Macaca fascicularis: one gene and its partner. The protein of the gene in region 2 purifies or fractionates together with the protein of the main gene of each other region. This does not show direct contact. Links are inferred from orthologs where the notes say so. Each region holds a gene or a part of one and is shown on either strand. Other genes may lie near its edges.

The links. The genes of interacting proteins can lie anywhere in the genome.
Region 1: the proteins of RNGTT (region 2) and PPP4R3A purify together in Homo sapiens (affinity purification with mass spectrometry; 3 studies listed by BioGRID and IntAct, with this or other methods). This does not show direct contact. The link is inferred for Macaca fascicularis from reciprocal best matches to the Homo sapiens genes RNGTT and PPP4R3A.

The regions. Positions count from the first base shown.
Region 1 is NC_088381.1:159,504,337-159,508,083, reverse strand, and holds the start of PPP4R3A (serine/threonine-protein phosphatase 4 regulatory subunit 3A), read left to right. Parts: upstream 1-1,442; 5' UTR 1,443-2,094; coding exon 2,095-2,236; intron 2,237-3,747. UniProt on the Homo sapiens protein: Regulatory subunit of serine/threonine-protein phosphatase 4. May regulate the activity of PPP4C at centrosomal microtubule organizing centers.
Region 2 is NC_088378.1:86,408,993-86,412,739, reverse strand, and holds the start of RNGTT (mRNA-capping enzyme), read right to left. Parts: upstream 2,808-3,747; 5' UTR 2,598-2,807; coding exon 2,534-2,597; intron 1-2,533.

The DNA of each region.
Region 1 (3,747 bases), on a different chromosome or scaffold from region 2:
GTCTCTACCGAAAAAAAAAAATAAACTTAATTAATTAACTGGGAGTGGTGGTATACACCTGTGGTCCCAGCTACTTGGGAAGCTGAGGTGGGAGAATCGCTTGAGCCCACGAGGTTGAAGCGGCAATGAGCCGAGACTGAGCCACTGCACTCCAGGGTGGGTGACAAGAGAGAGATCCTGTCTCAAAAGCAATTTTTTTTCCAATAAAATCTAAACACAGATATTTCTGATGAAAATTCAGTATCCCAACAGAGACTTGCTGGAAGGACAAAATATATCACATTTTAAAGACATCGTAAGGTTAAAAAGGAACGTATATCTTTAATAATTTGATTACTGAAATAACATTTTGAAAATACCGCACTGAAACGTTAACACTAATTTCATCAGTTTCTTCGTGCTTTTTGTGGCTACCGCAAAGTTTAAAGTTATGTGTGTGGCTCGCATTATATTCCTAGCGGACAAGCCCGACCTACCAGGCCTAGCAAATGGTAAAAGCCACCAAAATAGTGGCACATGAGCTGCATGATAGGAAACAGAATGTTATTCCTCTGTGAAGATTAGCAATACTTGACATCAAGTAGCTCTTCAAAGCACAGGACTACCTAATGCTGAGAATTACTCCTCCCGATTTTGCAGTGTCGCATTTGTTTTTGTGAGCGCCTTAAGTTCCTTTCCGACAAGGCTCGCAGACAGTTCTGATGGGGATGAAGGAATGGAGCACTTGGGGCTTGCCTAGGCTGTAAGGTGAAGTTTTAGAATTGTCACTTCGGACTCGGTCCCACGCCCAGAAAACGCAAACAGTCCCAAGTTTCCACACTGGCCACGCCAGTCCGCGACCCATGGCGGCTCCCAAGGCTGCGCCAACCTAGCCGCCCACACCCGCGACCTTCCCCGGAAGCGTTTCCATTTCATTCCTTCAAGTCCGCAAGGGGCCGGGTGGGTCCCGAGCGCCCGACTCAGCCGCAAAGGCGGCCCCGGGAAAACGCTCTCGGAAGCGGGTAGGGGCCCGGGCCCACGCCGCCCGGCGTCCGCAGGCCAGGGACAGGGGAAGGAACAAGAGAAGGCGGCGGCAGGCGGACCCGAGGCCGAGACGCCGGGGCCAGCTCGCAGAGGCCGCAGACGGATCCACGCCCCTCGCGCATCCTGGAGCGGGGCTGATGACGAACACAGAGCGCGACGGACGCACACACCGCCCCGCGCTCGCACGACGGTGCGTGCAGGGAGGCGCGAGGGAGCCTCGGGCTGTCACCGGCGCAGTCAGCGTCCCGCCTCCTCCGCTCCCTGCGCTCCCGCCACCTCGGCAACTCCGCGCCCGCCTCCCGCCTCCGTCGGAAGCCTCCGCCGCAGTAAGGCTCCCGGTCTCGCTGCTGTCTCTTTAAATGGTGGGGCTCCGAGCCGCCCCTGCAGCTGCTCCCTGGGTGGCCCCGCGCGCCGCTTTTGAGGGGCGAACCAAGATGGCGGCGGTTTTGGCTGTGTGAGGAAGACGGAAGAGGCGGCGGCGGAGGGAAACCGACTTCCACTAGCCCGGGGCGGTTGGGCGGCCGGGGGCTTCAGAGTCTCCCAGGCAGTGGTAGCATTTGCAGAAGGATCAGGCGCCTGTCGGCTTCTGACGTTTGAAGCAGGGAGCGGAAGGGAGCCACTGGCCGCGGTGGCAGGGCCAGGTATAAGGAAGGAAAATATGGCGGCGGCGGCAGCGGCCTGAGGAGGCGGCGGCGGCGGCGCGGGAAGCTGCTTCGCGGAGATCATGGCGGAGGCGGGAGCAGGGCAGTGACGGGAGCCCCGAGTTCCTAGCGCTGCGGGGCGGGAGGCTACGAAGCGCTGCGCGGCCCCCTCGGGGCTGCCGGGCGCCGGGCTCGCCGGGCCTGGACAATAGCGCCGGGGAGCCGGAGGCGAGGAAAGGCGGCGGCCCAGAACTCGGTCCCGGGAGCGGGCCATGCAGGCGGCGGCGCGGCCCCGCGGCGCCCAGCGGCGGCAGTGAGGCCGGGGAGCCCTTCGCTCGCGGGCGCCCTCACGCCTCGCCCCTCGCCTCTCCAGGACCCCTTTCCTGGGCGTCTACTGGCGGGGCCCCCGCCCCGGTTCCCGGGCGGCACGATGACCGACACCCGGCGGCGGGTGAAGGTGTACACGCTCAACGAGGACCGGCAGTGGGACGACCGGGGCACCGGGCATGTGTCGTCTGGCTACGTGGAGCGGCTGAAGGGCATGTCCCTGCTTGTCAGGGCTGAGAGCGACGGTAAGTGAAGCCCCTCGTGGCGGGCCCTTCGCAGCCCCCACGGCCCTGGGCCGCCTCCCTGGTTCTTGCGGGGCATGGCGCTCGCTCCACGAGAACGGAGGGACGGCTGGCCACGGCAGCCACCCCGGGGGAGGGCGGGCCCCAGGTACCCCAGTCCTGCGGGAGCTCCCCGGAGAGCGCCTGAAATGTTTCCTTTCTCTGAGTGCCTGGTGGCATTTTGGGTACGAAGAGAGCCAAGCGTGTTGAGCTGTGCCGCCCTGGAGTGTGTGAGGTCGAGGACCTGAGATGGGGAGTCCGGAGTGTACTGTTCTTTTGCACTAGAGTGACCTTGAGAAAGACACTGATTAATCCGATCTTCTGCCTTAGTTCACCCATCTGTAAAGCAGGCATGAAACTTTGCTTGGAGCTAAGAAAGTTCTTGGACCTTTCATACTTTGAAGAACATTTTGCTGTGATTTCTTTCTTTTTCTTTTTAAACGTCTTTTTGCTACATGTTTCTGATCCCGTTGGAGGTTGGCAACACTGGATCTGGCAACTCTACGCTAAGAGAAGACGCTTTACCTTGAGAAGATAGAGATTTTTGTTCACCAGTGTTGGTTGTCTTTTTTATAGTAATGCAGAATTTTGTGTGTAGCTCGCTATATAAACATCTTGCAAGTTTGGAATAATTTTATATGAGCTTTTTTTTTTTGATTGCTTAAATGGGTGTTCATAATTTCGTTAACAGGTGCAGAGAAGTTGGCAGATAATTTTTAAAACCTTTCGGATCTTCCCTAGTGTTTATGCTTCACCCATTTTGAAACAACCCTCAAGGTTCAAAGACTAAGTTGTTTGAAAATAAGTGTTTCCCTTTTTTTCTTTTTTCCACATCTTCTGAGTGTTTCATATTTTAGAAGACTTATTCTCTCTAGGGATTGCCACTGTTTTTGGAGATATACAGTGAATTTCACTTAAAATATTCAAGTGGGGTAAAACTGTTGTCAAATTGTTACTTCCAAACGTGAAAGTAAGTTCTCTTCCACCTCTTTTGGTACATTGGTTTATATTTTACAGTTGCTAACGAGGTCAGTTTATTATGATTGTAGTGATTCTGTGTCTGAATTATTACAGACTAATTTCAAGGAATTTTCTTCAGTTGGACTCTACCCAGAATTCCAATTCCATAAAAAACCAACAAGACTAGCCCTTCTGTAGTTGAAGACTTTGGGAACATTGATGTTCTATTTAAATTGAAAGTGGTAATCTGGAGTATATTGCCCACAGGTTATAAGGTTACCCAAAATGACTTAAATCTGGAGAGAAATTATTTCCTTTTGGGGGCATTTAAAATTTTTTGAATGTTGGGTGTATTTTTCTGGGCCTGAGTTATTATTGGCTACTTAAAATACAATTTGAATGTCAAGTGTTAGTGTAATTTTGTATGTGACTCACGTAATAACCTACTCTAGATCTTTCACACATTTGGCAAACTTTACATAGTATGTTAGAAGGTATGGGCTTTTAGTAGATTT
Region 2 (3,747 bases):
TTATATGTAGTTAGTACCATTTTCTTTCTGATTCAGGAAAATTATGAACTTCTAGTACTAGTAAAGTGAATCCTAATATTTGCAACATATAAGTTTGAACTGCCATAACATTTTCCTCAATATGCAAAATATCAAAGAAATTACTGTGATGGTTAATACTGAGTGTCAACTTGATTGAATTGAAGGATGCAAAGTATTGATTCTGGGTGTAGGGGGCGTTGCCAAAGGAGATTAACATTTGAGTCAGTGGGCTGGGAAAGGCAAACCCACCCTTAATCTGGGTGGGCACTATCTAATCAGCTGTCAGCACAGCTAGAATATAAAGCAGGCAGAAAAAAAATGTGAAAAGACTTGACTGGCCTAGCCTCCCAGCCTACATCTTTGTCCTGTACAGGATGCTTCCTGCCCTCAAACACTGGATTCCAAGTTCTTCAGTTTTGGGACTCAGACTGGCTCTCCTTGCTCCTCAGTTTGCTGACAACCTATTGTGGGACCTTGTGATTGTGTGAGTTAATAGTTAATAAACTCCCCTTTACGTGTGTGTGTGTGTATATATATATCCTATTAGTTCTGTCCCTGTAGAGAACCCTTACTAATAAATTACACGATTAAGTACAAATTACTTTTTTTTGAGATGGAGTTTCACTCTGTCACCCAGGCTGGAGTGCAGTGGTGCAGTCTCGGCTCACTGCAACCACCGCCTCCCGGGTTCAAGTGATTCCCCTGCCTCAGTCTCCCGAGTAGCTGGGATTACAGGCACACACCACCACGCCATCATAGCTTTTTGGCTATTCATATATCTTATTTTGTGAAGTGTCCAAATTTTTTGCGAGTTTTTAAGTCCTTTGAATTTATTCTGTATAATACATTGATGGTGGGGCTATCAAGTGTTACCGCTTTGGAAAAGAGGTTGGCAGTTTCTTAAAATTCTTAAAACATACACCTATTATATGATGCAGCCATTCCTCTCCTAGAGATTTACACAAAAGGAATGAAAGTATATGTCCATACAAAGAATTGTACATAAATGTTCACAGCAGGTTTATTTGTAATAGCTAAAAACTGGAAACAACCCAAATGACCATCAATAGATGAAGAGGTAAACAAATTGTGGTATACCCAGAACAATGGACTACTACACTGCAATAAAAAAGGAATAAACTATTGATACATGCATAATCTGGATGAGTATCAAAATAATTATGCTTAGTGAAAAAAGCCACACACACTTCCTTCCACCCCAAGCAGAGTACTCACTATATGTTTCCAATTATTTAAAAATTTCTAGAAAATGCAAACTATAATTACAGAAAGCAGATCAGCAGTTGCCAGGCAAAGAAGAGATTTAAAAAGGGACAGGAGGAAACTTTGAGGGGTGATGGTTTCATGGTTGTTTCCTAGGAAAGAGATGTATTTGTGTATATATAGTCAAAATTTATCAAACTGTACACTTTAAAGCCTATTGTATTCAAGCTCAATAAAGATGAAAAAAACTACAAGAAAAATGATTTAAAGAAACAAAAACCAGACCAAGCAGGGTGGCTCTCGCCTATAATCCCAACACTTTGGGAGGCCGAAGTGGGAGCATCGCTTGAGTCCACGAGTTCAAGAGCAGCCTCGGCAACATAGTGAAACTGTCTCCACAAGAAATAAACAAAAAAATTATGGCTGGGCGTGCTGGCTCACGGCTGTAATCCCAGCACTTTGGGAAGCCGAGGCGGGCGGATCACTTGAGGACAGGAGTTGGAGACCGGCCTGGCCAACATGGTGAAACCCCGTCTCTACTAAAAACACAAAAATTAGCCAGGTGTTGTGGCACGCACCTGTAATCCCACCTACTTGGAAGGCTAAGGCAGGGAGCCGATATCACGCCACTGCATTCCAGCCCGGGCGGCAGAGAGAGACTATGTCTCAAATATATATATTATAAATGTGTATATATATATTAAATAAACAAAAAAAGTAGCCGGGTGCGATGGCAGGAGCCTGTAGTCCCGGCTACTTGGGAGGCTGAGGTGGGAGGATCGCCAGCCTCAGCGAGAGACCCTGTTTCACAAAAAAAAATAAAAACAAAAAACTAACAAAAACACCCTCCAGATTCCCAGTCTCAATGTGACCCCATTTCACCGCTGGGAACCGCCCCTTCCCTCCTTATCCTCCTCCATCTCAAGACTGACACTCATCCCTTCTAATTCGAGGGGAAGGTTGAACCCTAAAAGGTTCACAAACTACTAAGACTCAAAGTACGCCCACTGTATTCCTGGATCCTCACCTCCTGCCACCAACCTACTGTCTACCTTCACATTCGCACAGTTAGCCTGGCAGGAATAGTGACAAGTGCCCCCCATCCGCCGACCATCCCCTCCCGTTCATGTTCCCAAACATTCGTCCACGAAGCGTAATCAGATGGAGCATATCCCACTCCTGAAATACCACTAACGGGCACAGAACCACCAAAAGCTGAGCTCCTCAGTCGGCCCACCCCCGGGCACGCTGGAGTGTGGGGATTCGAATACCCCCCAGTCCAGGTTACCTGCCACCGGCTGGCCGCGCCGGGGACAGTTCAGCCACCGCGGCGGGATCTTGTTGTGAGCCATGTCTTGGGGGCTGCGCAGAGCTGCCCTCCCTCACCAACGTTCGCCGCGCCTTTGCAGCCGCCTCCCCGTGGTCCGGTGCGCACCGGGGTCCGAGACACCCGAATCGCAGCAGTAATCCGAATTCCAGCCGCTCAAATCCGGGTAACGTCAGGGGCAGCGCGCCACTTTCATTCAGGATCAACTCCACCGCTCCAGGAGAACCCACAATGCACTGCAACTTCCGCCCCCGAAGGCCCCGCCCCCTTCTTTCCGAGGTCAGAGGGAAAGAAGAGGAAGCTCTGCGGAAGGATAGCAAAGAGTTAAGGCGGCGACGAATGGGAGGAGCGGTCCGTCTCTCGCCCCGCTCGGCCCCGCCCCTCCCGGTCGCGGTCCCCGGACGCGCACTTGCGCTCCTGGTTTGCCTTTGCATATGTGCAATTGCGTTTGTACCGAACTCCGCAGGACGAAGCGTGTATTTTTTTCCAATCTAGACAACCTAGAGAAACCCAAAAAAGAGGGAAGCCAAGCCCCTTTCCATGCGTTGATTGCCCGTCACTTCCATTAAGGCATCTGTTTTACTGATGAAGGAGGCCTTCTGAGCGTTACCACAGCGCAAGCTTGGCGTCCCAGCTGGATCTAGGTTTGATTTGGTATTAGGGAAAGTTGTTCAAGGGAATAAGTCTTAGGAGAATTCTAAGGGCGTGAGATTGGAGTACCAGAAATGGGGAATTTTTCTTACGGTGAGTACTTACGAGGATCTATGAAGCGTCTGAAATTAATTCCAGAACACTTAGAGTTTTGTTTGTACATTTCTTTATCAAAGTTTCAAAGCATACTGGGGAGTTTGAGAAGGTCCATGTCTCCAAAAAAGTTACTAAATAATGTGTATAATTGACAAAGGCAGGAGTTGCTCAGTGGAGAACCGTTTCGTGGCGGTGTTCTCCTCTGCCTACCAAATAAACAGTCCCTTTTATTTTCCCTTCGAGTTAAGCAGAGGTGCTTGGAAGCATTTTATGAATGCCGTCCTTTAACGAGCCTTTCCTTTGTTACCAGATTAAATTAGTGTTAAATATAAAGCTGGATGATGGCAAATCAATTATAAAGTAGTTTGGCTTTAAACACCAATGCTGTATTGGAACTGCAAGAGCATAAGGCTGCAGGGAATACATTT